Linked DNA regions of Rhinolophus ferrumequinum. The protein of the gene in region 1 purifies or fractionates together with the protein of each later gene. This does not show direct contact. Links are inferred from orthologs where the notes say so. Each region holds a gene or a part of one and is shown on either strand. Other genes may lie near its edges.

Region 1 (7,879 bases):
CCATGTTAATGACTCGCATCTAATATGTGCTAAATAAACATTAGTTGTATGAAAGAATGAATGAAATCAGACTGCAGCAGAGGAAATGACCCTTGGGGATACTTGGGGTGCTTCTGTCTCTCACAGATCCTTAGACATCTGATCCCTTAGATGTCAGATCAAACTGCCCTTTCCACCTGGATGCCTGGATGCTCACGTAGCCTGTGTCCCCTCTCCCTCCACAGCCTCCAGAAACCTCCCCATCTTCAGGGACACTCTGAAGGCACCTGGCTCAGAACCACTGCCATCCAAGGAGCGGGGAGTCCCAGGGCTGAGCAAATGCAGGGGGGAGGTGGGCAGCTCCCCTGCTTCTCTCTCCTCATTTTCTGCTTCACTTGACTCCTCTAGGTAGGAGCTGCTTTCACTGCCCGCACTGCTGTTATAACTCCGGAAACTGTCATAGCCACCAAAGAGCTCCAAGTCGTCATCTTCCTCTTCTTCCTCCATTGCTTCTGAAGGAGTCTCCTATGAAAGAATGACACAAATCAGGCGGGAGGAATCATGTTTGGCTTAGTGTAGGGGAAGGGCGGCTGCCAATCTGCTCTCAGCTCCCTTTCCAGTTCCTGGTCAGGTCAACACTCTTCGGTAAAATGGCAGGCAGAATCAATTACCCTTTGCAAGCACCAGGATCGTTCCTGTTGTTCATACAGTTCTCAACCACAATGAAAAGAAATAGCTTAACAAGACAGAAAAAACATGTATTAGGAATTAACCAAGCTCCTTCTGTGGATTTATAAGTGATGGCATTTTAACATGATTCAAATACAATACAGTGATATGAAAATATCCTAAGTAAGGTGCCTCATGAAGACTTCCTGGGAAAGATGTATACAGTTGGCCTTCGTATCCATGGATTCCAAATATTTGGGAAAAAAGTTACATTGTTGGTGATGTGTGTGCTATGTACTTAGGCCTATGACAGTTGTGTCTGTACTGAATGTGTACAGACTTTATTTTCTTTTCATTATTCCTTGAACAATACAGTAAAACGACTATTTACATAGTATTAGGTATTATAAGTAATCTAGAGATGATTTCAAGTATATGGGAGGATGTGCATATATATGCAAATACTACGTCATTTTATACAAGGGACTTGAGCATCCAGATTTTGGGTTCCAGAGGTGTCCTGGAACTAATCCCCTGCAGATACAACGGGACAACTGTACAGACATACCTTGTTTTACTATACTCTGCTTTATTGCACTTCACAGATGTTGGGTTTTTTACAAATTGAAGGCAAGACTCTCCACCAGCAAAAAGATTATGACTCGCTTTATTTCAGTGGTCTAGAACGGAACCGCAATATCCTGACGTATGCCTGTATTAGAAACTCATTGTTCCCCCTTCAGCATATGTACACCAAAATAAACTCAACTCAAAACAAGTCAAGTCAGAGAAAAGTTAATTTGGGACCCAGACTGCCCTAAGGACAATTTGGGAAGCAGAAGACACAATAGTTATAGCATATATACTACAATAGCTTTGGACTAAGTTCTGATCCTAACTAGCTGTGGGTCCTTGGGCCAGTCATTTAACCTCTCTGGGCCTCAATTTTCTCATCTATAAAATAAGAAAAATATTTGGCTCACAAGATGTACAATATAAATGAGATGTTGCATATGAAACTACCTGGCATGTAGTAGAAAAAGTGTGAAGGGTTTGGGCTCAAGACCAAGGCTCAAATACCACCTCTCCTTTTTACTAGCTGTGTGATTGTGTGATCTGCAGCAAGTCAGCCTTTCGTGTCTCAATTTCCCCATCTGTAAATTCTGTAAATGCGGATACTACTACATATTTCATTGGCTTTGGGGGAGAAGTAGGGCACTCAGAACAGTGACTTGCATATCATAAGTGTTCAGTAAATGTTGGCATTTATTATTGATTAAAAGCATGGAATTTCAAACCAGACTCACCTAGGTTTGAATCCTGGCTCTGCTACTTATTATCTGTGTAATTTCTGTACAAGATAATTAACCTTGCTGCTCTCAGTTTCTTCATCAGTAAAACAAAGATAATAACAAGCCTTCTTTAGAAGACTGTTAATGAAGACTGAGACATATAAAGCCTAGATCTTTTTCCAGCAGTTACTGACAGCTCTAAAAGTGTGAGCTATTATTCTCTACTTTATTATGATTATTCTCCTTCACTCTTGTATTATAGAATTTTTGAGCTATTCCATTTTATATGTACAACTGCACATGGAAATGTGCTAGAAAGGAAACCAAATTCAAATACAAGGTGACCAGGGCCAAATGATTAAAGGGCGAGTGAGTTACAGGTTGCAGTACAGTGGGAAAAGCGTAACAAGCAACGTTTTGGCGCCTGAGGGACTTAGTGCCCACATCCTGTACTTTACTGTGGTGTTGGAGAGTCGCACCATCTATCTAATATCTAACAAGCCTCAGCTATTTTAACCATAAAAACGAAACAATGACACAGGATTGTCGTGAGTATACTGGGAGATAATGCACGTGAACCCTCCTCCAGACACGGAGTGTTTCTTAAACTTGAATCTCCCTTCACGTCCCACCAGGATATGAGAGGCCTCATAATCCCTAAAGAACCCGACCACGAGACAGGAAAGACGAACAAGATTCAGGAGCTCTCACATCCTGAACTCAGTACCCCTTTCCCAAACCAGGGGGCTGTTTCTCCCTGAACTACTCGCCCGACGTCGGCCCCACCAGTATCCGAGCAAGAGGCACGCCGATCGCTTCTGGCCCGGCTCAGCCTCAGTTTATCCATCCTTCCACCCTCCACCCGCAAGGCGTCGCTGAAAGGCCTAAAGAAGGGTCTCCCGGGCGAAGCTCTCGGGGTTCCCTTTCCCAGACACGGTAAGTCCTCTCCCTCTCACCTCAACGCCCCGGGGTTTCTCCATGAGACCTAACAGAGTTTCTTCAACCGTCACCAGGTGCAGGAAGCCATATTGGCCTCGTCGCTTTCCCGAAGTGCACTCATTGGCCGCCTCCCAGAGACGCGGACCAATCACGCTGCAGGAAAGAGGAACAGCCGGTGCCGCGCTCGCGCGCGCCCCTTCTCCCCTGAGGGCGGGGAAGCCATGGTCACTTGTGGGACTTGTAGTTCCCCGGTGGGTGAGTGTGGAGGGGGCGTTGCTATAGCGACATGAAAATCGCTGAGGGCGGGTCCTGCGTGAGGTTTTCATTTCTTTACGCCAGGCTCTTCCCTTCACGCAGACCCCACTCTTCATTAAGGAATTCTGAGCACCTGCAATAGTCAGGTGGGACAACTGTCCCTAGTCTTGGCTCCATTATCCCTTGTCTATCCCTGGTCCTGAGACTGTTCCAGGCTCAGGAATAACCTCGCATTGTTCCTGATTAGAAATTTAAAGTGCTCTTGGGCGGGATGCCTAGCAGACTCATTTCCAATTCAGGCAGAAACTGGAATACTCTTACGCCCAGTGCTATAAATGTCCCGCATGTTCAAAATCCTGCAACACTGTCCCTACATTACCGTCTCTCAAGTAAAGCTTTGAATATGAGGCTCTCTGTCTCATTCCTTGGGATTTTCCACAACCTCCTTACACACTTAGAGTTCTAGGTGCGGTCATGGAGCTTTACAAACATCTCAAATCCAGGTATGTCCTTAAACCTTTGAAAGATGAGGAAACTGGCTCTTGGGGTTTAGACTCTTTCCAAGATCACATAGGATTGAAATTTAAGATTTAATCCAAGTTCTTTCCCTGAGCTGTGCTGTGCTCTGGTTAATTGAAAATCTAAATGTAATAAGTGGAGGCTGAATATATGTTAAATATATTTCTAAATTTGAGGTCCATCACATAGATGAGAAAGTCTTGCTTGATTTTTTTCCTTCAACCTTTTCTACCTTCAGCCCCATATCCATGCTATCAACAAGTACTGTCGCTTCTACCTCTGGAATATGTCCTCATCCTTCCACCACTACCACCCTAATACAAGCCACCAGCAACAGCCCTCCAGCTGGTCTCCTTGTCTGAACCTTCACCTTCTTTAATGCACACAGGTGATCTTTTAAGGTCATAAACTGGATCATGTTCATTCTCTTGCTTAAAACCCCTAATAACTCCCCCTTGCACTTTGAATAAAATCCAATCACTCCACCAGACCTTGAATGACCTGGCCCCAGTTTTCTCTCCAACTTCCTCTTGTAGCACCCTCTCCATATTTTCGCTTTATCCATTCACTCACCTCTCCTTACCGGTCTTGATTGCCAAGCTTGAGTTGGCCTCAGGGCCTTAGTACTCGCTGTTCCATTTGTGTGGGAAATTCTTTCCAGGGCTCTTCTCGTGGATGGCTCTTCATTGTTCAGATTTCAGATCAAAGTCACCTCTCAGGCACCTTATTTAAAGCAGCTGTTTCCTCCCCTCACTCTGTATCCCTTTACCCATTTTACAGTCCTTGGTAACACTTGTTTCTGTCTGAAATTATCTTGTTCATTTGTTCACTTGTGTATTGTCTATATCCCACCACTGGAATGTAAGTCCCATGAGGGCAGGGACAGTCTGTCTTGTTCTCCATTGTATTTCCAGAGCCAAGGACACAGCCTCACATACACTAGGTGCTTAATGACTAAAGAACTAGATAATAAGACTTCACGGATTACAACAGGCAGCTTTTAATAAAAAATTAAAGTATAATTGACAATATATTACTTTCAGGTGTACAACAAAGTGATTTGACATTTATATACCTTACGAAGTGATCACCAAGTTAAGTCTAGTACCCATCTGACACCACACAAAGTTATAATTGACTGTAATCCCTATGACGTATATTACATCCCCGTGACATTTATTTTGTAACCAGAAGTTTGTACCTCTCAATCCCCTTCACAGTTTTTGTCCTCCCTGCCACTGCTCTCCCCTCTGACAGCCATCAGTTTGTTCTCTGTATCTGAATCTCTTTCTGTTTTGTTTTATTTTTTAGATTCCACGTGTAAGCCACCTCATACGGTATTTGTCTTTCTCCATCTGACAATAGGCTGCTTCTCCAAGGCAAAGCACTAGATGGGGTAGCTTCCTATTCTGACCCTTGTGAACAGTTTTGTTTTACCACTAACAGGGGTCCAGGCCCAGTTCCTCCAGCTGGAGACCTAGGCTTTCCTCCTCTGCCCCTCAGCGTCCTCATCACGTAAACGGGACTAAGTTAACCTCATTGAACTTGAAAAATCCCATGATTTCAAAGTGCAATGAATGATTCAAGATTGAACATCAAAGGTGATAAACAGAAGGAATCTAGGTTTTAATCTGTAAAATGGGAATAATAGGACCACATCATTGGGTTGTTGTGAGAATTAGAAATAATAAATGTGCAGTGCCTGCCACATACTGGGCACAGTGAATGGTAGTTATTATCATCCTATTAGACATAGAATGGCAGCAACTGGAAAAGTAAACCAGCCCAGAAGAAATACTTTTATGGGTTGTTTAATCTTTAAATTTTTATAAAAGCACAACCATAGATCTCACAGGCAGAGAATCTGCTCATGGCAAATCATCTTATTCATCAAATATTTATTTAGTGCCTACAGTGCATCAGGTACCATGCTGGACTCTAAGAAGACACAGGTGGTGGCTATTTCTGTCCTCATGGACTTTACTTCCTCCTACAGGAAGACAGTGAAAACAAAGAGCTAGTTCCAACTGAGAAGGAACTTAGCAGGGTGCTGGGCTGGAGAAATGGGAAAGGGAGCACCTGGGTAGGGGATCTTTCCAGAAGGCCTGCTACATAAGAAACAAACATCCTTGACTTACAGGATGGGAATGAGCCAGTTAGGAGAAGAGGGAAAGGGCATTCCTGGCAGATACAGAGTTTAGGGAGGAGGTAAACAGCTCCAGTTGGTAGGAGAATATTATGGGAAACCTTTGAAGGTTTTAAGCAGGGGAGTGAATTAATTCGATTAGTTTTCGTAGATCACTCTCTGGCTGCTGTGTGGAGAAGGGAGTGGAGGTGGGTTAAGAGAGGCAGCAGGGAAACCAAGTTGGAAGACTCTCATAAAAAGATCCAGGAGAAAGATGATGGTGGCTTGGACCAGCGCAGACTCAGAGGGCATGCAGAAAAGTAGAAAGATTTGAGAAATACGTTGGAGGCAGTAATTAAATGTATGGAGTGGGTTTGAAAGAAGGAGGAATCCAGAATGACTCCAAGTAAATGTGTCAGATGGGTAGACGGTGGGACCTTGTTCTGTAATGCATAAAAACTGTATGAGAAATGAATGAGTTTGGGTGGTTGAATAGAAGGAATTAAGAATTCTGCTTAGTCTACAGCCGTACCACCCTGAATACACCTGATCTCGGAAGCATTCTGCTTACTCTCAGATGCCCCCAAGAGGTCAAGGAGGCAGTTGGAGCTCATCAGAGAGCCCTGACTGGAGATCTAAATCTTGCAATTTTTGGCATCTTCCCTTTAAGATAGAATGAGAGTCCTTAAATCCATCTTCTCTGTGATGTATTCTTTTTCACATCTCCATGCATATATCACCAACAGTAAACAAGGCAGAAACCTGAGCTTTCCAGTTTTGTAATATTTCAACAAAAGAAACAGAAGTACCAGACTTTGGGGGAGGGGAAGCAGTAGAGTTGGGGATTCCAGTGACAGGAACTGTTAGCACAAGTTGAAATGGCGGTTAATTAGGAATTTAGTTGAAATATCTTATTTAGCACAGGTTGCTAAGTAATAGTGGCCACCTGGAACGGTGTGGTCCTTCCTTCTGCCTTTGATCTCCTGGGCTTGGGTCTTATGCTGTAGCAAAGGTACCCTTTTTGGTTGGTCTGAGCCATGCTTCTGCACACCAAGCTCATATACACCTCTCTTTTCAGAGCCTTCTCTCTGTGAGTCACTGTCCCTCTCTCTGGGATCCTTGATCTCTCTCGCTCACTACTGAATCATCCCCAATAGCAACATGACTGTGCTCGTGTCACCCATACTATACAAATAAATCCCTTGAACCCACCTCCTCTGTCCCCGCCATTGTGCTATTCCACACCCCCCAATCTCTTGAAGAACTTGTCTGCACACACTACCTCTACTTCTGCTTCTCCATGTGTCCTTATGCTCCACCAAAACTGCTTTGTCACGTTCACATACAGCTTCTCTGATGTACAGCCATGCCTCTCTTCTCTCAGCAGCATTTGGCCTAAGGATGACGCCATCCTTCCTGAAACACTGTCCTTTCTTGGGCCCCTTTTGGTTTTCCTCCTGACTCTGGCCGATCCTCTCCCCTTTGAAGGGCCTTCGTCTGCTACCTGAATTCTTTCTTTTCTTTTCTCTTCTCTTCTCTTCTCTTCTCTTCTCTTCTCTTCTCTTCTCTTCTCTTCTCTTCTCTTCTCTTCTCTTCTCTTCTCTTCTCTCTTCTCCTCTCTTCTCCTCTCTTCTCCCTTCTTCTCCCCTCTTCTCCCTTCCCCTCCGCTCCCCTCCCCTCCTCTCCTCTCCTTTCTTTCTTCTACCTGAATTCTAAGTATTGGCTGGTGTTCTTCAGGGCTCTGTCCTGGGCCCTTTTCTCTTTTCTTCTTTCCATAAGTGACGTCTTTCATTTTCAGTGCTGTAAATGCCATTTATATGCCCCACATTTACATCTCCAGCCTATGTATTTGTCCTCTGAGCTCCAAAGCCATATATCCATCCGTAGAGATGACAACGTGACATTGCATCATAAACCACAAAACAACACTTTAACCCTTTACCTCAAACCGATTTCACTTCTAATTTTCCCTATTTCAGCGCATAGCACTACCAACTACTCAGCAACTTCCTCTTGATTCCTCCCTCTCCATCCCTCACTTTCAGTCCAGCAGCAAATCCCTTTGTTTCTCCAAAACCTCCCTCAAATATTTCTACTTCCT
Region 2 (6,964 bases), on another chromosome or scaffold:
ATCATTGGAAATTCCACCTCCCAGAGACAAATGTTAACATTTTTGTGGAATATCCTCGCTCATCAAAGCATCTCAAACTCTAATGTGCATATGAATCACTTGGGTATACTGCCATGTTTCCCTGAAAATAAGACCTAGCCGGACCATCAGCTCTAATGCGTCTTTTGGAGCAAAAATTAACATAAGACCCAATATTATGTTATGTTATTTTATGTTATATTATATTATACCAGGTCTTATATTAATTTTTGCTCCAAAAGATGCATCAGAGCTGATGGTCCAGCTAGGTCTTATTTTCGGGGAAACACGGTCTTACAATGCAGGTCTGATTTAGTAGGTCTGGGATGGGGCCTGTATTTCTAACAAGCTCCCTGGTGATATGGATACCATTGGACCAAACTTGAAGTAGAAAGGAGCTAGATTGGGCTGCCCAGTGACAAGTCCCAGTCTTGAGAAGCTCACATAGGGCTTTACCAAAGACACGCATGCAGAGATGCAAATGAATTCTAAGAGTCCTAGATTATTATTCACATCATAAAAATACTAAAAAGGAAAACTAGAGGAAATGTATGTTCTCGTATGTCTAATTCTTTGCTGCTATTATGCTTTGCCTGTGAAAGTACCTCTATTTGGGTCACTTAATAGTGTTTCTTAAGTTCCAAACGTGTGAAGATTTTCTAGTGTTTTTGTTTTTTGTTTTGTTTTTAAAGATTGTATTGGGGAAGGGGAACAGGACTTTATTGGGGAACAGTGTGTACTTCCAGGACTTTTTCCAAGTCAAGTTGTTGTCCTTTCAGTCTTAGTTGTGGAGGGCACAGCTCAGCTCCAGGTCCAGTTGCAGTTGTTAGTTCCAGGGGGCGCAGCCCACCATCCCTTGCAGGAGTCAAACCGGCAACCTTGTGGTTGAGAGGACGTGTTCCAACCAACTGAGAGCTCCAGGAGCTCCATAGCAGCTCAGCTCAAGGCCCCTCTAGTTATCTTTTACTTATTATTTCTACTTTAATTGCGTTAGGTCCAAGAACTTGTCTTCTAAGATCACAGTCCTATGAAATTTGTTGATATTTGATGTAGGGCTCAGAATGTGATCAATTTTTTTTTTTATTTTTTTTTGATCAATTTTTATAGATGTTCCATGAGAGCTTGAAAATAATATACTCTACAATTTTTGGGTGCAGTGTTTTATGTGTCTTAGGTCAAATGTATTACCTGGGTTGGGGCCGGCCTGGTGGACCAGGTGGCTGGAGCTCCATGCTCCTAACGCCAAAGGCTGCTGGTTCGATTTCCACATGGGCCAGGGGGCTCTCAACCACAAGGTTGCAGGTTCGATTCCTCGACTCCTGCAAGGGATGACGGGCTCCACCTCGCGCAACTAAGATTGAACATAGCACCTTGAGCTGAGGTACCGCTGAGCTACCGCTGTGCTCCCGGCTGGCTCATTTGTTTGGAGCGCATCCTCTCAACCATAAGGTTGCCACTTCGACTCCCGCAAGGGATGGTGGGCTGCGCCCCCTACAACTAATAATGGCTACTGGACCTGGAGCTGAGCTGTGCCCTCCACAGCTAAGATTGAAAGGACAACTTGACTTGTAAAAGGTCCTGGAAGTACACACTGTTCCCCAATACAGTCCTGTTCCCCTTCCCCAATAAAATCTTAAAAAAAAAAAAAAAAAAGTATTACCTGGGTTGATAGGTCTTCATATTCTATCAATTACTAAAAAGATATCTGTTAAAATCACCAGTCTCTCTATCTGGAAAGACTTTCCTCATCACTTCTGCCTACTTCTCCAGGCCTCCATCCAACAACTGAGGATTCATGTTCACCAAAATATGATCCAGTCTCTGCAGATCCCATCCTTAGCCTGATGGAGCTGACAGCCTAACAAGACTTACCTGATCACCAATACCTCCCCACCCCACCTCAGACCTGGAAATATTTCTCCCTCCTCTGAGCTCTTACAGCATTCACTGTCTGCGTAGCTAATTTAACACTTAGTTTGTGTTCACTGCAATTATTTGTATTCATAATTTACTCCCCTATCAGGTTTTAGATTCCAGGTGGGCAAAGATTATCCTATGTTTTATATCACTGCTTTATTGAAATACAATTATTGACAAACCATAAAATTCGCTCTTGTAAAGTACACGATTCAGTGGAACACTATCTTATTTATCTTGGCATCCTCTGTAGCACTGGTTCTCCATCTTGGTTGCACATTGGAATCACCTGCAGAGCTTTAAAAAAAATACTGCTGCCTGGTTCTCACCCCCAGAGGTCCTGACTTAATTGGTTTGGGGTGCAGCCAAGGCATTGGAATTTTTAATAGCCCTGGAGTGATTTTAACTTGTAGCCAGTGTTGCCCTGTAGTGCTTTGCACATAACTGGCACCCAATAATTGTTTGTTGTGATCATGAATTAGCTCTAACTTCTAATATCTAGCTAACTAACTCATGCAAGAGCTACCTTCCCTGTCTCCCTTATAGCCCATCAGCTTTTATATCATAATGGTCTGCTTATGTCTGTCTCCCCCACTTAGTGTGAAAGAAGACTAGGAGACAAACGCATTTAGAAAAGATGTTTACTTGCAAAGCTGTGCAAACTTCAGTAGGACTGGATCACTGAATAAGAAATACAACAGTTATTTAAAGGGAAAAAAATGTAAAGATTACCACATTTACATGTCTCTTCAGCACGAATGATATGGGGATGTATGTCACAAAGGTTGTGACAAATATCCTCAAACTTCTGTATTCAAAAGTCAGGGATAAAATGGTTTTCATGAGGGAATCAGAAATTTAAGAGAAAAGCTCAAGATTTCATTCATTTTGGAGACCAGATGTAAAAGAGTAGTTCGGGTACTTTGTTTCTGTCAGGGGTGAAAGTGTCTTGTTTTCTCTTCCTGTGGGACTTGATGTACACTCTTAAAATGGCAGCAGGGTAGTCTCATTTTTGTTTCCACAGCTGTGAGCAGCATGAAGTCTGGGACAGTTCCAGTCTGATACATTATGGCATCCCCATGCTGGCACATGTAGGTGTTCAATAAATATTGGTGGAATGGATACAATGACACCTCATGCCACCGTATCTAAATATGATTCTAAATGGACAGGAGGTGCAGTTTCACGTTTTGATACTTTTTGCAATTCTAAATTATGGTACTCTGAACTGGGGCACTCCCTAAACTGCCTCGACTGCAACAAACTCAGAAGAGGCTTTTACTTCCACAGAAACGGTTGTTAGGGGTGGGGGGTGGGGTGTCTGGGAATGTATGAGCCTCACGTGAGTAGCAAGGATGGTCATTTGGAAAGATTTTCGCCTCTGGCAGCTGTCCCTCGGTGAGGCCGGTCATCCTGCAGGTCCTGTAACACTATTTAACACCTGACATTGACACATCTTCATAGCCAGATCCTCAGGGTCCTTCTCGTGGACGTCCCGAGCCTCGTCCCCTAGTCTGCCGCAGCAGGATCCCCAGCTGGCGGGTTACGCCCCAGGGCGCAAAGCTGGGAGACTCAGGAATTAAGAAGACAAAGTAAAACCAGTCGCACCAAGGAGAGACAGCGTTATTTAGGAAGCTGGCTACTCCCCCAGAGCCTCCACCCTGTCCCCTGGGCCCGGCGCCCGGCGCTCAGACCGTGCCCGGCTTCAGGAGCTCCAACTCCCTCCACGTGTCCTCTCTTCCCAGGAGTCTCCACGGCTGCCTCGGGAGAAAACCTCCTGACAACTAGGAGTCGCAGACTACGACTCCCAGCAGGCACTGCGCTGCTTCTCTCTCCGCCCACTCCATGGGACACGCAGGCGCTCTGGGCTCCGTCAACAAGTTGGGCTGGCGTCGACTAGTTGCAGTTCCTTACGGGATTTGTAGTTTTCTTGGCGCTAGCTGTGCCGTCAGTCAAAAGAACGAGAACTACAAGTCTCGGCGGCCCCAGCGTGACCAGCCTGGTCACGTGGAAGGGGGCCGACCGGGCGTGCGTGCCGCCGTTGATCTGGTGCTGCAGTGAGGAGGTGGTTCTCGCCCGTGTTGAGTGTGTGTGTGAGTGAGAGAGTGAGTGAGTGAGTGAGTGAGTGTGTGTGTGTGGGGACTCGGCTTGTTGTTGTCGGTGACTTCCCTCTCCCCTCCACCCTTCCCTCTTCCCCGTCGTCGCTGCAGTGGCCGCTCCCTGGGCCGTAGGAAATGAGCGATAACGATGACATCGAGGTGGAGAGCGACGTGAGTCCCGGGATTTTTTCCTTCCCTTGCGGGTTGTCAGGCAGGGACTGCGGCCGGGGCTCTCAGCGGGGTGACGGCGGCAGGGGGCCGGGCAGCAGCCGCCTCCTTCCCCTCCCCCGCCCCCCGGGCTCGGACCGCCTCCGTCGCGCTCCCGGCTTGCTCCCCTCCGGGCTCCTGGCCCGAGCGGCCTTCTGAGCCTGGAGGTGGGAGGGAGATACGCGGCCTCTAGGACCCTCATCCTCCCCCGGTGGAGGAGGGTGCTGCGGCCTCCCGCTCCCACCCTATACCGCTCAGGATCCGGGGGACAGGGACGGGTTGCGCCGGGATCCCATTGTCCGGACCCTAGGGAAGGGGACGACGCTCAGGACCTGCCCCATCGGTCCGTGATCCCCTCCTCTCTTGACCCGCGGATCCTGGGGGGGTGAGGGAGGACGGTGAGGGGTTGGGAGTGCCCAGATGCCCAGAGCTGGGTCCGAGGAAAGGAAACAGTGCTCTGGTTCCCTCCAGCCTGGGTCGGATCCTGGAAGGAGGGGCGGCGCTCGGGACCCCCCTATCCCGCCACCGGATCCCGCTGGGGGGGTTAGGGGTGTGGGGGAGGGAGGGAGGTCGGGCTGACTCCCCACCCGCCGCTTCCTCCGCCGCCGGCATTTTCTTTCTTTAATGAATGTGAAGTGTAAAAATAACTTCTATATTTTCTATTTTTTTTCTCTCTTATTCCAGGAAGAGCAACCGAGGTTTCAATCTGCGGTACGTCTCCTACTCTCCATTTCATTTTCATTTCCATTCAGTTCTAATCCTTTTTGGGGTCAGAGAGAAAAAGATCATTCTATTACTTTTAATAATGTAGTAAACTCTCCTGTTGATCGCTAAGGTGAGGTTGGGGCCTTGTTCTGGGGTTCTAGGTGGGGAGGTGGGTTTGCAAATCTCATAATTTTAGGTTCTCAGGTGACAAGTTGCGGTGACCGGATGAGTGAGAGAAGATATATGCAAAGGAATGAATCGTTCCAAAGTTTTCTGATGGAGGAATCTAGCTGTCACTATATAAGTTGTAGATGAGAAATGCATCATTCTGAAGTAAGTTGTATGATTTCAGGGCAGAGTGGTCGAAAGATTTACTTGGGAACAAATCGATTCTAAACCATATCTATCTAGTTGTTTGAAGCTGGAGCCACATGCAGTGATCGGCTTTAACCAAAAGTCATGTGACTGCTGTAGACTTACTGAATCTAACACACCATGGTATTATTCTAATACAGAAATTGGAAATGTAGAGGAGCCAGAGGTTGAATATGAGAGTCACATACAGCTTATTGTGTAGTCTGATGATGTTTAAGTTGAAGGAGAGAGATAAAATAGAAAAATAATTAAAGAAAGGTGGCATTGCAGAGGTAGTTTTGCTAAAAGGTGATGGTTGAAACCATACAATATCATCAATAATTTGTCAGGATTTTGGTATTAGTGTTCTCAGTAGATGGTTCTATGGATGTAGATACAGATGTAGATATAGATACAGATGTTGATATACATATACACTAATAATATCTTTGGAGTCAGAGACAGTCCTGTGGGTGTTCCATGAATAGATGAGAGAAAGAAAAAAAGAACAGACACAAAATCAGAATCAGAGGGGAAAAGAAATAAGTATATTAGCGTGTCCACTGTTTGACAGCTGGGAACAGTAAGTGTATAGAATGTGGTCAAAAATTCCTATGCCTCTGGGGGACCTAGGCAGGCAGATAGTCACAAATAAAGTAGAGAGCAGAGGGCAGGACTGGGGTACGTGTTATTTTTCTGATTTTTAAAATGATGTGTGGGACAATCAGGTTGTTTGGAGGCTTACTAGAATTTGCAGGATGCCACTTTGATACCTCTGGTCTAAGAATTTAATTACCACAGGATAAAAGCAAGCCCTCTTACTGGTACTTTCATTAGAGCAAGCAAAAATTCTGCAGTTTGTCCAAGCAGATCAGCATTAAGAAAAGTTTTATTTATTGAGAGCTGATATTTCAATAAAAATCTGAGGATAGAGTTTTAAAAATTAAAAATTACCCTGGCTAATAGTGACTAAAAAAAATTTATTTCTCCTTGAAGTATTGTCAGATACTGAAGTTTATATATATATTTGAAAATTCAGTTCCTTTTTTTATCAGTTACTATTACCATTAATAATGTGAACGTGGAATTTCATGCTTGGGACCCAGTCTATTTAAAACATCTTTTTTTCTCCAAGTCTCTATAAAATCTGCTCCAGGGTTTGATCAGGGTTGGAGGATATGGATTTGAATTGGAATTATTATTTGAATTGGAATTACATTGGCTTTTCAGTGGGGGAAAAGTTTTCCATGTGAAATTTTGGCTTACTGTTCTTGAAAGCTTTCTGCTTTTCAAAGTATTCATCCACATGGGCGTTGATGTAAATTGCTTTATTAAATTATTAAAATGTTTCCACTCTCCTAGAATGCTAATCTCATTGTTTTGTCTAGATATATTTTGAGTTTGTTGTTAAGGTGCCTACGATTTTTCTCTTTGATTTTGGTGGGTGGGCAAAGGGAGTGGGTTTGACCCTTTGTTTTTAATTTGACATCTACTTGCTGAGACTTTTCAGTATTATCTGGCACAGGAAATTACAGTAGCATGGAGAGAAGAAGCCATAGACAAATTTTATAGTGTATCAAACAATTATAAACATGTAGGGTAAAAAGGATTACATTATTTTTCTCTGAATATGTGTTCCTGACACTTAGCATAGATAATAAATG
Region 3 (7,920 bases), on another chromosome or scaffold:
CCACAAGATTCACAGGAGTGAATTCTACAGTTTTCGGGAGAATTGTATCAGCAAAAACACTGCCAGCGTGGACTAAAAGCGACAGGGACAGTTTACATTCCCTAAAAATTCCACAGACAGGAAGCAGGCTGAAAAAACTACTGAGCTACAACAATATTACCTATCGTGAAAAGGAAAGGAAAACTCAGACTGTGGAACCAAGAGCCCAGAGTGTGGAGCTGGGAGCATGGAGAATTATGCCCAGGCCTTGAGACCTAATCAGGAAATGCGAACATTTACCAGGCTGGATTGCAGCACTGCTGTGGACCAGTTACTGCTCCGCGACTCTTGCTTTCCTCTTTTATGAACAGGCACGTGTGGAGCCGTGATCCTATGTCTGCTGCACTAGTCTACGCTGTATGTTGTGTATGGGGTCAGATAACTTGTGTTTAGTTTCACATCTAAAGATGTGGAGAAACAGTACTTACAGAAATACACCTGAGCAGCCTGGGTTCTCATTTTAGTCCATGAGTATAAAGTCTGTTACTTTAAGGCTCAAACTGTTGCCGATTAGGCCTTTTCAAAGTGGCTCCTGCACTTTGAAATAAGGACACTTGGTTTTTACCTTTTCAGCACCTTTAGGATGCGTCTTCAGAGGAACGCTCCCGTAAATTTCTATGTGACTAACCTGCCCAGATGCCAGCAGAGATGATGCTGCTTCTAGTTCCTGCAACCCACAACTGCGGGGGCAGCATCAACGTTTCTATCACTGAGAGGTCACTTGCAGGTGATTTCCCTGAGCGGATACCAAGGGAGCGCCTAGTACCAGTCACATCTCAGGACTAGACTACCTAAGAGTCTTTCCCTTTCAATCCTCAAATCTGCCTCTCATTTGTTCAGGTTTATTATATAGCCTTGGAAAGGAACAGAGAAGGCAGAGGCCTCCAAAATCACTACGGATGACAGCAGCCTAAGAACCAGCAGCTTCTGATGTGCAAGTCAGCACATTCCATGCTATTTTACTACCGTTCCTAGTCCTACATCTAAAGACCAATGCTTCTAAATCTGAGATTTCAAAGAAAAAGAAGAGACTAAAAAGTGAGTTTTGGAAACTAAAATCTTAAGCACTGTCTTTAAATTAGTTAAAAATTTCTCTATATGGATGCCTCTTTGTACCGACTGCCTGTTTTGGAGAATAACATCCCTTTAAGAGCCCTCTGAAAACATACCTTTCTCCAAGGTGATTACATTCATTTAAATGTTCCTTAACTGAAAAATAATACTATATTATATACTGCTAATAATACTAAAAACATACTACCTTCAAACAATACTATTTTCTCCCTTCTCAGTTTGCAAGCCATTTACGTAATGGGAACATCAAACAGTCAGGTATATAACTAATCTTTGCACAGCAATAGACTTCTATGTATTTAATTATTAAATACTTCCAATCATTAGCCAATTAAAAAACACAGACATAGGTATTCGAATCACCATTTTATCCAAAAGAATGTGAAAATCTGAAAAATTTAGCAACTATAAGCAGTTCAGGAAAGATAAACCCAGGGGCCTGATTAAGAAGTTTCGAATCTAACCTGACAGCACTAGGGAACCACAATAGAGTCTTTAAGCCAAATGAAATGATCATAAATATGCTGTAAAAAGACCACACGGTTAGTTGCTGTGTGGAGAATATACAGAAAAGTTGGGGGCAAAACCAGAAGCAGGAAAGGTGGTTAGTAAGACATTGCAACAATCTGAAAGATAGATGGTTAAAAGTGGCAAGTACTGGGGATTAATTTTAATTGGATTAGAAAGATGGAGGGAGTCAGTTTCAAAAAAAGAAAAGGCAAGAATGATGCTTAGGATAGGTGTTTGGACAATACGGTGGGTGGGTGTGTTACCATTTATTAAGCTAGGAAACAGCAAAGTTGTTTCTTGCTTAGGTTAGAAGATAATGAATTCAATTTTGGACATGTGAGTTTCAAATCTAAGTAGAGATATCTAGTAGACAGTTGGAAAGCTCTGAGCTCGATTTATAGATTTGGGAGTTACATCATGACATACAGTATATCGCATCTAATCTAGAGCAACAATAGAGGAAATTAACCTTCAGCTGGAACGAAGCCCAATCTCCCCTTCCATTTTTTTCTGTCTTTCTGAATGGGGAACTGTGGGGTGGGAAATGTGAGATATGGACAAGCTTTTAAATAGTTACAGTTAAGTAGAATGGGAGAGGAAGCCCAAGAGAAAAACGATCGCTTGCAGAGATATACTGAGGGTGAGTGGAAGTAGGAAAACAAGATTTTCTAACGCAAAGTTGAGCAACTTTCTCCAACAGTGCTCCGTAGCCCCAAGGTAAAAGCCAAGAAGGCTGACACATTTGAGAGGACGTGTTGAAAGAAGGCAACAGAGTTTAAGCGAATGACCAGGTTGGTTCATAGTAGTACATAATGGGCAGTGCAAGACCAGAGGAGACAGGGGAGCAGCCACGGCCCAGCCCTGGGCGAGCTCATAATTCAGAAGACACTCAGTGCGGCTTCCCCAGTGAGGGAAAGGGGCGGCTAGCCTGAGACGCGAGCCGCCCGGACCCGATCCCACCCCACCCCGCCCCCGGCCAGGACCCCAGGCGCGCAGGACTCAGGCTGGCCCGGGGACTTACCAGCAGGCCCTCCACGTTGATGGGGTCTCGGCACCGGCGGCGCACCGTCTCCTCTGCCGGGTCCACGAGCAGGCTGGGCAGCTTCCGCGCCGGCCGCTGCTGACTCATGCTGCCCGGCCAGCGGCCCCTCGCCCTCGCACCCCGCGAGCTCTCCCGCCTTCTCCTGCTCGGGTCGGACGCCGCTCCCAACGCTTTGGTTCCCGGAGCCCAGACCTGGGCTTGTGGCCTGCTCGGAGGTGCACTGGGCTAGTCTGGGCCGGAGACGAACGCGCCACTGTCCAACGGCCCCGGGAAGTAGCACGCAGACTGCAGGAGCGCAGGGAGACCCACGATTCTCAAGACGCCATGCCCGCCATCTTTCCGCATGCGCAGTGCGCCGCCCCCAGTGCGCATGTCTGGCACAGCGGGAGCGCTCCCACGCAGTAATCCGGTCCTGAGCTGGAGCCCGCGAAACCCTGGGAGGCGGAATCCACGGAGAGGATGGCTAAGGAAAAGGAAGAGGTGGAGCAGGAATCCGGGGGAAGGGAACAGCACGAAAAAAAAAAACAACACAAAAAAACAAAAACAGGCGGCCAGGAAAACCGCATTTGTCCCGCGGAATTCTTGACATGATGACACTAGTAACTGAAGGATCTGAGTGGGCAGAGGTGTTAATTTATTCCTGAGCTCCCTCTGCACATCTCAGGCACTTACCCAGCGTTGATGCTTAGTAAATGTTGGAAACCAAACCGTTGCGGAATTGTTTACTTACATGCTTCTTTCTCTTTCTTTCCTTTTTCTTCCAGTTAAAAGATGCCCTTACCTACCAGAGTCCCTGAGAAGGCAAGCTCTGGACACCAGTAAAGACTGTTTTTAATAAGTAAGGTGTTCATTCATCATTTGCATTCTGCTCAATGTTCTACATACATTTTCTCATGTAAATCTTGTATTAAAACTGATGGATAGGTGTTTTTCTGCCCAATTTACAGATCAGGAAAACAAAGATGAGCAAGATTACAAAAATTACCCCAGGTCCTGGCTAGGCAGTGGTAGAAGCAAGATTTGACTCTACAGTTGATTAATTAATTTGGTATGCCGATTCTTGAGAAGGCGATTGAAAGGTGACTAGATTATCTGCAGCCAGAAATGGGGTCAAGTGAGTGAAAGTGAGGTGTGGGTCAAGACGAAGTTGGCAGGCACTCCAGGCTGAAGACAGCGTGAGCACAGCTGTGGAGGGTTAGGGCAGTGACACCCCCTCCAGACACTTACAACGCCTGTGACTTGGCAGGAAGTTGAGGGAGTTCATGCTCTATGAAGCCAAGGTCACCTGCTGAGAGTAAGGGGAGATGGTAGGATTGGAGATTTGGGAGACATAGCATGCACTCAGTTAATATTTACAAATGGGGAACAATAGAGAAGACTGACTTGCCAAACATAGTAAGACTGCAAAGTCACACTAGACATTACCTCCATCTATGGCTATCTCACATTGTCTCTAATTACATATCCTCCTATGAGAGTTGAAGGATGAAGAGGCATGTGTAAAAGATGGCAGAGGAGAAATGGTGGCAGCAAGGACTGTTCCCCATTAATTTTCTGCATGTAATAATCTGGGTCATAGAACCATAGAGCAGGAAGAGGTCCTGGGGATCAGTTAGTAAAACCCTCTCATTTCACAGGGGATGGAACCCAGAACAGAGAGGTTAAGTGACTTGCCTATGATCAAAAAGATGTTCTCTAGCAGAACTGGTCTTTTTATTTCCAGATCAGTACACGTTTTAGGAAATTGAGATGAGGTGCCAGACCAACACTTACAGGAGAGGAGTGTTGAAGAGTTGGAGGATGCTGAAAAAGGAGGGTGGCATGGAAGAAGGGACAGACATACAGGACTGGAACGCGTCCTGCATCAACCCTTGTTTAGCCCTCACCGGCAAGTAACTTAACCTTTAGGATCTTCAGATTCTATATCTGTAAACCGAGTGTAAACATACCTGCACATCTGTTGTATTAGAGATAATGGGGGTCGAATCCCTGGTGCAAAATCCGTCTTCAATGGTAGCGAGAACTTCAGATTTCCCAGGGGCTGTTTATAATCAAGTCTCAAAGCTTCCGACTCCAGTGACTAAAAGTTGTTGTAAAGTGACAATCAAATGGAACAAAGAGCAGTGCAGTTAACTCTTTGTTCTGAGGTTTTGTTCAGAACTTGACGAGTTTTCAGGGAGTTCCCAGGACGATGCTCGCCCACGAAAGTTTTCATTGGTCCAGGCGCATGGATTCAATTCCCCGCTTAGCAACAGTATTTGCCTCCTGCATCAGAAAGGAAACAAAAAAGTAAACCTGCAGTCAAATGCACCCACAAGGGCAAATCCCCATGAAAGCCTGTCAAAAAAGACCTGTGGGGAAGAGAAGCTACTGCTGTATGCCTCAGTGAACTCCAATGAGAAAGTCACAAAGGGAGGGGAGGGGCAGCTCGGTGGCTTGTCGGCGCTCGCTCCGAGAGGGATTTTCAGCCCTTCCCTCCTGATTCCCGTTGCGCCATGACTTCGCTCGCTCGTTGTCATTGTTCTTGGACTATTATAACTGCTTCCTAATTCATTTGCCTGTCTTTCATCTCTCCACCTACAAGGGATTCTACACTCTCACTGTCAAATGAAACAGCAGCCTTTTTCTTTTCTTTTTTTGAGGGGTGACTATTGACTTTACATTGCCAGAGAAATCTTTCCAAAGCACAGATCTGATGTCATTGCTTCTCTATTTGAAATCTGTCAGTGGACTTCGTATTACACTCCCCTGTACATCGGTCACTTGCGTGCCTGGCTGTGTCCCCCAGCACACTTCTGGAGCGCGGGAGCTGTGTCCCCGGCACTCCGGAGCCCCGACCGCCTTATCACGGTCCAGTCACATTAATCCTCATTCAGTCCCTCAAAAGCTTTCCTTCACTGCTGAGTCTTCTCACAAGATTTCTTTGCCTAGAACATTATCCCTTTGATGCTTCTTCTAGCAAACTCCTCATCCTCATTTTAGACGTCTTTCCCTCAGGAAGCCTTCCCTGAACCCCAGTGAGGCCAGCACGTCAGCCTCCTCCCCGTGTTGTCTGATAAGCTCCTGGACCGATGCCCTTAATAACATTTCGCCATCAATAGGTACATTACATTGTAAATAACCAAATAGCATTTGAAAAAAAATAAAATCTTTACTGTGCTGACTTCGCAGTGTAGAGTGTAGAGCAAAACATGACAACACGAAATATAAAGATAATCTTTTGTCAAACCTTCTAAGGATTCCTTACAATGGATTTTGTTTGATTCAGCATTATCAAATTATTGGTAAATTTCTATTTTTCCTCCTGCTTGAATTTTATGCTAATCGATACTAATTTTCTTGGTATTTCTTAAATATTGTAGGTAGGATTAAATTTTATTTTGGAGAAATAAAACTAATTCTCAGCATTGGGAATTCTCAGAAATTAATTGATATGGAATACACTTCAGGAAAACTTGCACACAAGTTGTCAGATATTTGATAATTTATCTTACACAAATCTTCAGGGTTCAAGTTTAATTTGTTAAAGATTTTATCAAAGCAAAGTTTTGTTAGTAATAATTTAGATGAATCATTTGAATTTATCTGACATTTTTTGTATGTATTAAAAATTCATTTGAATTAATTGTGTTGAAAAAAGAAATACACTTAGCAAACTTGAAATCTTTTGTTAGGTAACTACATATCATTTACATAATGGAAAAGATAAACTCTAATACCCTCTCCTAAAAGGAAAGAAAGTTGCTAAATATTAGAAAACAATAACATTGGTTTCAGACTTATGATTCCAAAAAATTTAAATATCATTAGACCGTTGAGAAATTTTGATCAAAGAAAAGTAAACAAACAAAAACATTTGAATTAATTTTTTTGACTAGACACATTTACATAAATAGTGAAAAATCTCCCTCCCTTCTCTCAATAGAAAAGTCCTCTCTTTGGAGGCCACCACTGCGTTCTGTGTTTTTTGTTTGTTTGTTTGTTTGTTTGTATTCTTATAGAGATGGTTTATGCACAAATATTTATCTATGTCATTGCCCCCTAGTTTACACACTAAAAGTCATACCATTTCTTGCTTTTTGAACCTAGAAAAATGTCTTGCAGCTTATTCCCTAACAGTGCAACAAAAGTCTTTTTCCCTCCCTCTCTTTTATGTCTACACAGTACTGTACTGCTACATATACTATATGTATAACTATAAATAACCCATGCTGTTCCCCAACCCTGAACACTTAGGTTGTTTCCAATATTTTGCCACCACAAATAGCACCAATATAGAGCAATCTTGTATAGACTTCATTTCACACAGGTATGAGTATTCCTAAAAGATAAGTGGCTAGGAGTAAATCACTGGGCCAGAGGCACAAGAATTGGTGCTTTTGATAGATATTGTCAAATTGTTCTCCAAAGAAGTTGTATTAGTTTATCTGCCCTTTAGCAAGAGCTAAGGGTATGTGAAATATGATAAAGCAAACAAATGTTCACTTGGTCTTTAGAAAACAGCATTATTCATTCTGTATCAATACATTTCTTTGACAAAAGCATCCTTATTCTTTGGGATAGAAAGAAACTACAAACTGCTAGAACAGTAGTTTTTCCTTGCTGATGCTATCAAAGTTTTTCCAGTCATTTTGGCTTAAGGTCTGACATGTGAGTGTGATATACACATGACTTTTTGGATCTATCACAATAATCTAAGTATGTTATACATGTTCATAATGTATGTAGTGTACATTATATGCTATTACATTCCTGAGTATTCCTTGGAATAAACTCCCAAGAGGTGTTCTTTGCAGAAAAAGAGAAAGAAGGTAAGTGTGATAGATACCGACATCTACAGCAATATTGTTTATATCCTTTGCATTTTCTTCAGCCCAATGTAATTTCGTTCTGTAAATGCCATTAGAGATTAAGAAGCTGGTCTTTAAATTTTGTTTCACCACTTGCAGAGTGATTTATTTCTGTACACATGATTGGAGCAGAGCATCTTCTCACACTTTTGAATAACTTTCATCTTTTCTGGTTGGGTTGGGGAGCCCAGTGCTAAACGGCTAGTGTCTGACTACACTGCTACCACATTTTTAAAGCAAGGTCCTATCAAAGTTGAATTCTTACATTCTGTTCTATTTGAATTCTATACAAGCACACTTTAGGTTGTTTGCTAATGTCTTATTGTTAAATGGCTACCTCCTTGTACTATCCCCATGAACAATATCAGTTGCACCAGGTTGGTTTTGCCCTTCGGACTCTCTCCC
Region 4 (7,044 bases), on another chromosome or scaffold:
AATTTTTCACTAACACTACTTACTGTCCTGTGCAAGGAAACAGATTCCTTAGGGATCTGACATGGATCTTTAGGTAACCTAATAAAAATTAAACTATGGATGTCATAAAGTCAATCAATCTACTTCTCCAGCTGTCTAAACAAATGGCTCCAATATTTAGAATGTAGGAGTTCTCAATTCATCTTTACTAACCTAATGTACTCACATCAGATGCATGCATCAAGCCACCACAACTTCCTTCTTACAATGAAGGTAAAACTTGTTAAGCAAAATAGAACTCCCAGGGCTATTGTTCACTTGGATTATAAAATCCACTGCAAAATCTTCCATAACTTTACTCTCTGATTCATGAAATAGATGGGGGGTGAGGGGGGCAGAGAAACATATAAATATAAAACATGCCTGACAACATCTCAATTGTAATTTGCCAATAGCAGGGCAAAGAGGTCATTCTTTGGATGACAGAGTCATAAAAAAAAACAACAACATTTTTAATCATTACAAAACTGGTCTATGCGCTCAAAAAATGTAAGCATCCACATCTCAACAAGTTATAGACTATGATCTAAGACAAGAGCTTGAATGCAGAATAAAATGCCAATGCTCTGCCTCCCTGAAGGAAACATACAACCCCATAACCTGCTGAACATCATCACACCAACGCCCGCCAGAGTGGATATTTTGAAAATTAAATCAGGAAATCATGATAAGTGCTAGCGGTTCCTCTAGGCCTCAGCAGCAGCCTTAGATATTAGAGCAAACTCGAGCCCTCTTAACACTCAAAGAATAATGTTGATGTCATTATGAGGCTACTGATTCTTTGCACTCCGGACTAGTCATTCCTTGATTCACAACGCAATTCTTTCCCGCACCGCTGCAAAATAAAGAGATCTCAAGACAGAGAAGCCCTCGGGTACCCCCTTCTCTACCTCCAGCGGCTGCCGCTTTCTCCTCCCTCCGGCTCCAAGGTGGGGGCTCCAGAAGGTCCCGGGCAATTCCGAGCCCGGGCGGTGCTTGTTTGCCTGTGCACGGTAGCTCTGGCCAGCCGCTTCCTTTTCCAGTTTGCCCGAAGTGGAGCGCTACGGGGGACGCGGGGACCGAAAAGGGAGCTCGGGTGGCGCCGCCGCCACTGCCGCCGCCTCTGGTATGTCAGGGGCCGGGATTGTATTTCGAAAGATCCGCCATTTTCACCTCGTCATCACCATCACAGCTCAGCAGCTTCCCCGACAGCCCGAGCCCGGGCCGCCGCAGCCGCCGCCGCCAGTAACCTCCCCCTTCCTCCTCCTCCCATCCCCAGCCCTCCCCTCCCGAGAGGCGCACACCCACATATCCGGGGAAACCTCCCGCCCGCCCCGCCAACCTTCAAATGCACAGGGAGATACAAATGTACACACAGCCCACGCCGAGACCTCTCACCCCACAACGAAAAATGGTGCTCCTGCGGGCCCGACAGCCACACCAAAGGAAGTCGCGCTACCTGCAGGATCCCCAGTCCCGCACATTTTTCTTTTGAAGAGCAAAAGCCATGGGGAAGGCGACAAGGACAATACACTCAAATTCTTTAATTTTCAGAAAAGCAACTTGATAGAGGTGATGGAATGCGTTGTATTCACTGTGCCCATCTCAGACACTAAAAACATGATCAAGACCTTTCACGTCATTCACCAACTCTGACACTTTCCTCCTCTGTCAGCACTACTTTGACAGAATGAGCTATTTCCATATGCACGTCTGACCTTTCTAACACGTTTGTAAATTACAGGCACTGATCCTCATGTAGATACTATGGTCAAACAACCAGTTTTAAAAATAAAGTTCTGAATTATTTATCTCTCCACTTAATTTCATTTGATCATTTCTGTCTATGAACATTGTGACTTTCAATTTGTCTGCAATTGGTTTATGACGTTAAAGTGCAACTACGTTTAACATGTATTGATCCTATTCATGAATGAACAATTTCTAAAACAGAAAATTTACCTCTAAGCTAAAATAATTCTTTGCCACGTTTTTAGGACCTAAGTCACCAAATAATAGTAATAAAAAATCTACCACTGTTCAATACAGTGAAACAGCTTGTTTTAGAACAAGAAGACCCCAGTTACCCACCCACCCCTTCCAGCTCCTCTCATCATGCAGTTTAATAAATAAGAGCACATAGGTATTTTTTAATTATCAAAAACAACAAGAAAACATAAGCTGCAAGACTTCTGATAAGACCAGTATCTTTTTAAAAACTAAACTGGCTACCTTTGCTAATTTCAGAAAGATATGATAATCACCCATTCAAAAACTGAATTTCTATACATTCAACTACAGCATAAGCTCTAAAAGACTTATCTGAAATGAGCAAACTGAATTTTAAGGTTCCCAATAGGGCCTCTCTACTGTCTTTTTTAAAAGTTAGTCTAAGAGCGAGGTAGAAGTTGAAAAAGCCATTTCCTTACCTTGCTTGAATGGCAACTCCATATAAAAGTCGGTAGATTCAGGCTTAAACTAATGTTATTTACCACCCAGCCTAAATCGCCGTCTCTATGCGTAGCCTGTTAGAGGCTGAGAGTATCAAGTCTACCCAATGTCTTCATCTTTAAACTTTATTTCCCCACCGCCAGCCTCGTCCACCCGCAGTCTTCTTGGTGTTTACCGTTGCTTGGCCAAGCTAAGTCCCGGCCCGCTCCCTTCCCCCGTGCACCTCGGGAACATTATGACATTTGGCTGGTGGGCTTCGCGAGGAAAACGGACACACACGAAGAAGACACCATACAAAGGGGCGTAGGAAGACCCGGGCGGCGGGCAGGAGGGAAAGGAGGGGCTGGTACAAAATGACACAGCAGCAAAACCGGTTCCCAGAAATCCCGGGCCGACACTGCCGGCTCCTCCGGCCACGCAGTGTGCGTGTCAACAGCCGCGGGAGCCCTTCCTCCAGACAGCCAGGAAGGGCGGGCTGCCGGGTGACAGCCGCCCTCCCGGGTGCGGGCGGGAAGGGGCCGAGCCCGGAGGATCCTCCCGCCCCCTGCGGCCCGGGGGTGGGGTGCGGCGACCCCCAGCTTGCAGGTTCCCGCTCTCTGCGACGACCCACCAGCCCCGGCTCCAGGAGGGGGCGGTCCGGCGCCCTCCGCCCGCGCCACCACCCGAAGCGGGGGCCCGGCCCCTTCCCGCCCGCCCGCCCAGATGCCCCCACCCCGGGGGCTGACACTTACCAAAGCCGGCGGCGCCGCCGCCTCCTCCTCGCGCCGCGCTCCCTGGGCTCCCAGCAGCCGCGGCGGCGGCGGCGCCTCCGAGACACAGACCCGGGTTTGTTCAAAATCACGCGCCCAGCGCCATTCCACCGCCGCATCCCATAATACGCTGAGCCCTCCCCGCCCGCGCGCCCCTCTCCGCCCGCCCCTCCACTCCGTCCGCCCCGCCTCCCCGGCCGGCTTCCTCCGCCCCGCCCCTTCCGCGGCGCCTGTCCCTCCCCTTAGCAACCCGAGCTCGCGTCATCCCGCAAGGTGCCGCAAGTACGCTCCAGCTCCACGTGACTCTGAGTGGGAGCTCTGTCAAAGCTTTCGCGCGGAATGTTCCATCCGACTGAGGCTGGGAGGGGGAAGAGCGGGATCACACCTGCGGGTGTAAGGGCTTCCTCTTCTACCCTTCCTTGCTAGAAAGTGCGTGCTGCAGGTGCGATTCCCAGCATCCTGCTGCTGTTTGATGTGCTTGAGCGCGGAGGTGACCAATATTCGCAAATGCCAAATCTTTTCGTTTTTTAGGCACTAATTTTGTAGGGGTCACTAAAAAGCCCCTGGGAGAACACGCAGAGTTAAATTTATTTTGAAAGGGACTTGTTTGCAGTATACAGCTAAGACTAACACAATCAAAATTCTTTGTGTTTAGTCACCTTTTCCTTTTACTTTTCCCGCTATCCTTTTTTATAAAATAAGAAAAGATACCCAAATTTGGAGTCATATAAACAGGCACTGACAGGTTATTCAGGTAATAACTGCTCTGTGTGAGACAAGAACTACACAGAAGTAACAATAGAAAATACAAGAGTGTAATGTAAAATAGTGTGGTACAGTCGATAATTGCCAATGGAGAGAGGAGGACATACAGGTCAACGTGAGAGACTAGCCCTGGAACACAGTGGAGGAGGTGAGAGGTAGTGGAAGCAGCAATCACTTTGGAATCAAGCAGTGCTGATTTTAAATTCTGGCACCTTCACTTATCAGTATATAACATTTATCAAGTTTCTTTTCCCATCTACAAAATAAAAATAAAGCTTCCCAGGATTCTGAGGGTTAAATGAGGAGAGGAGTGTCAAGTAGCTACACAGTCTCTGCCTCAAATGTTCGTTCTATTCTGCCATGATCAACACCACCCCCCAACTCCCACCTCAAACTCAGTGGTTAGACTTTAGCAAGGCCAGTGACATGAAATTAGCAAAGCTTTGGAAATGGGAAGGTCTGTGGCCAATGCACAGAACGTGAGAAAGCTGAATTATACACAGGCTTTGTTGGGGATCTGTAGGTGAGCCCCATTTACAAGAAACCTTGAGAGTTAGTGTGACAAAACAGCCTCATGGTTAAAGGGTTGGTAGTACCGTGGAGCACCTCTGGAAGGAAAAAGGGAGTGAGATGGGGCACCCAAGCCCAGGGAAACAAAGAATCCCCCCAAAGGAGAAAACTTCCCACTTTATTTCACAAGGCTAGCAAAACCCAAGGTAAGCAGTACTAAAAAAAAAAAGTGGGAAATTCTGTTCTCACTATGACTTTGTTACAAAGACAAAATTGAGTATTAAGATATCAAATCCAATAATGTGGTAATAAAAAGAATCCACACCACGACAAAGTACAATTTATTCCAAGAACAGTGGTTTAACATTAAGAAATCTCATGTAATTTATTAAATTAAAGGAGAAAAGCCAAATGATATTCTCTAGGGATGCATTATATAATATTCAACAGCCATTTCTGAATTTAAAAATTCTTACTGAACTAGAAATGAAAGACCATTTCCTTAATTGGATCAAGATCGTCATCAGAAAACAACAGTAGCATTATACATTAGAGAGAGTGAAATGGCACAAGCATTCACATTGAAGCCAGGGAACTCACAAAGATGCAGGGCTTTAGCAGCTATTATTTAACATTTTTCAGGGTGCCTTAGCTAGATGCAATTAAATAAGAGAAAAAGTTTTAAATACTGGGAAAAAGAGCCTAAATGTTTCTTATTAAAAATAATCACACAGAGCTAGCTAGTGTTGTGGTTAATCGCTTGGCCTCTGGAGCCAGACAGCCTGGGCCCAAATTCTGACACTGCTGCTTAAGAGCTGTGTGATGTCGGGCAACTTCCTTTCCTCTTGCATGTCAGTTATTGCAATTGGAAATAGTGCATACATCATTAAGTAGTTGTGAAGATTAATGAGGTAGTATGTGTAAAGCATTTAGAACAGCACCTGGCATATGGTAAGTGCTCAGTGACTGAAAACTATTAATAATCAAAGCTACAATACAGCCTAACCTATAATCTAATCTTTTACTTTTTCAAAGAAAGGATTTTAGCTCCTAAGAGCCACTGATATTCAAAACATCTATATTTCAAAAGAGGATCTTTGCTTTACATTTATGTGATGGCTTTTCCAGATGAACTAAAAACATTTATTCAGCAAATATGCGTTGGTCATCTACTAGATCCCAAGCACCATGCAGGGCACTGGGAATAAAGTGGTGAGCAAGACAGCAGCTCTAGCCAAAGGAAGTTTCCACAGTGGTGGGACTCTTCTATGGCCATACTATCTGATACAGTAGCCAGCAGCCACATGTGGCTGTCAAGAAACGAAAATGTGGCTAGTGTTGCTAAGGAATGGGATTTTCCATTTTATTTGTCATTAAGTTTAAATAGCCACATGTGGCTGATGACTACAATATGGACCAGCACAGTTCTAGAGGAAGCAACAGACAATAAACAAGTAGAAAAAAATAGACCTTTAAAAATAATGGGGGAAATATCGATAGAAAAAAACGAAAAGGTGGTGGTATAGAGGAATGAGTTGGGTAGGCCTCTCCATAGATAAATGTATTACTGGGCATCTATTGTGTGCCAGGCATACTGCTGGTTATAAGCTAGTGAATAATATTTTCTTAAACTAGGTTAGTTTCCAAAAGATTATTCAGAAGTTCCTTTGTTCATGAGTCCATTTGTCATTAAGTCCAGTTTTAGTTAGGCCTTCTGTGTTCTTGCCACTCAGAGAGGGTCACTCTAAGCTCTTGCCTTTTTCCAGCAGTGAATGCTTGTTACTTGGTGCTTGCTAGACTGATTGTGGGGATGAGGGGAAGGAAAACAGCTTCTCTGCGGTGGGTCCTGTTCCAACTTCATTCTTGGGCAGGCTCTGGGTCCTTGGGTCTCCGTGGCCCTAATCCTCCCTCAGCATTATAACCTCTAATGGTCTGGGCACAACAGTTTCCAGTTCTCTCCCAGGATTCAAGGTTTTTCCCCTTTTTCCTATTCCTCCAGCTGCAATGGGTCTCCACATGTCCTTTGGGGAAAAACAGGTTTGTTGCCTTCCTCCATCAATGGAAGTCTTTTGTTCCTTGGGGGACAAGGTCTGGGCGTCTTGTTGCCTTTCTTACAGTGGCAGCCACTCCTCTCCTCTAGGACTTTACCACCCAGCAGCCTGTTTCTGTCCGCCACCCTACTCCAAATCTTTGTCCTTGGTGCCCCGTGGAAGTCCCTGGAGAAGACCCTGGGAGTGGATGTGAACTCCCCTTATGATTGTGCCTCCCATGGGGTTCCCTGCCAGCCCACACTCCGTCTTTAGCAATTTATTTTAAAATTTAGCAGAATTCTTCTTTCCTGTTTGTATGGCTACACCATCTTCCTTCCCAAGCTCTGCCACAGATAACCCAGTGCTTGCATCTCATTTGTGTTTAGAAGCACCTGTCTTTCCTTAGGTTTCAGGCTAGTTGTTGCCCTGTGACCTCAGCTCTTTGATTGGCTCAGAAAAAGTTATGATTTTGTACATTACTTAGATTATTGTGGTGGTGGTGAGAGCAATGCTTTTTCCAG

Evidence for each region.
Region 2: the proteins of L3MBTL2 (region 1) and MAX purify together in Homo sapiens (affinity purification with mass spectrometry; 6 studies listed by BioGRID and IntAct, with this or other methods). This does not show direct contact. The link is inferred for Rhinolophus ferrumequinum from reciprocal best matches to the Homo sapiens genes L3MBTL2 and MAX.
Region 3: the proteins of L3MBTL2 (region 1) and E2F6 purify together in Homo sapiens (affinity purification with mass spectrometry; 5 studies listed by BioGRID and IntAct, counting the BioPlex papers as one, with this or other methods). This does not show direct contact. The link is inferred for Rhinolophus ferrumequinum from reciprocal best matches to the Homo sapiens genes L3MBTL2 and E2F6.
Region 4: the proteins of L3MBTL2 (region 1) and LIN54 purify together in Homo sapiens (affinity purification with mass spectrometry; 3 studies listed by BioGRID and IntAct, counting the BioPlex papers as one, with this or other methods). This does not show direct contact. The link is inferred for Rhinolophus ferrumequinum from reciprocal best matches to the Homo sapiens genes L3MBTL2 and LIN54.

Annotation. Positions count from the first base shown.
Region 1 is NC_046293.1:6,693,206-6,701,084, forward strand, and holds the start of L3MBTL2 (lethal(3)malignant brain tumor-like protein 2), read right to left. Parts: upstream 3,015-7,879; 5' UTR 2,921-3,014; coding exon 2,897-2,920; intron 505-2,896; coding exon 267-504; intron 1-266. UniProt on the Homo sapiens protein: Putative Polycomb group (PcG) protein. PcG proteins maintain the transcriptionally repressive state of genes, probably via a modification of chromatin, rendering it heritably changed in its expressibility.
Region 2 is NC_046289.1:30,902,207-30,909,170, forward strand, and holds the start of MAX (protein max), read left to right. Parts: upstream 1-3,953; 5' UTR 3,954-4,169; coding exon 4,170-4,205; intron 4,206-4,925; coding exon 4,926-4,952; intron 4,953-6,964. UniProt on the Homo sapiens protein: Transcription regulator. Forms a sequence-specific DNA-binding protein complex with MYC or MAD which recognizes the core sequence 5'-CAC[GA]TG-3'. The MYC:MAX complex is a transcriptional activator, whereas the MAD:MAX complex is a repressor.
Region 3 is NC_046296.1:64,748,342-64,756,261, reverse strand, and holds the start of E2F6 (transcription factor E2F6), read right to left. Parts: upstream 3,019-7,920; 5' UTR 2,753-3,018; coding exon 2,645-2,752; intron 1-2,644. UniProt on the Homo sapiens protein: Inhibitor of E2F-dependent transcription. Binds DNA cooperatively with DP proteins through the E2 recognition site, 5'-TTTC[CG]CGC-3'. Has a preference for the 5'-TTTCCCGC-3' E2F recognition site.
Region 4 is NC_046288.1:37,908,701-37,915,744, forward strand, and holds the start of LIN54 (protein lin-54 homolog), read right to left. Parts: upstream 3,020-7,044; 5' UTR 2,470-3,019; coding exon 2,448-2,469; intron 1,232-2,447; exon of another isoform or gene 930-1,231; intron 1-929. UniProt on the Homo sapiens protein: Component of the DREAM complex, a multiprotein complex that can both act as a transcription activator or repressor depending on the context. In G0 phase, the complex binds to more than 800 promoters and is required for repression of E2F target genes.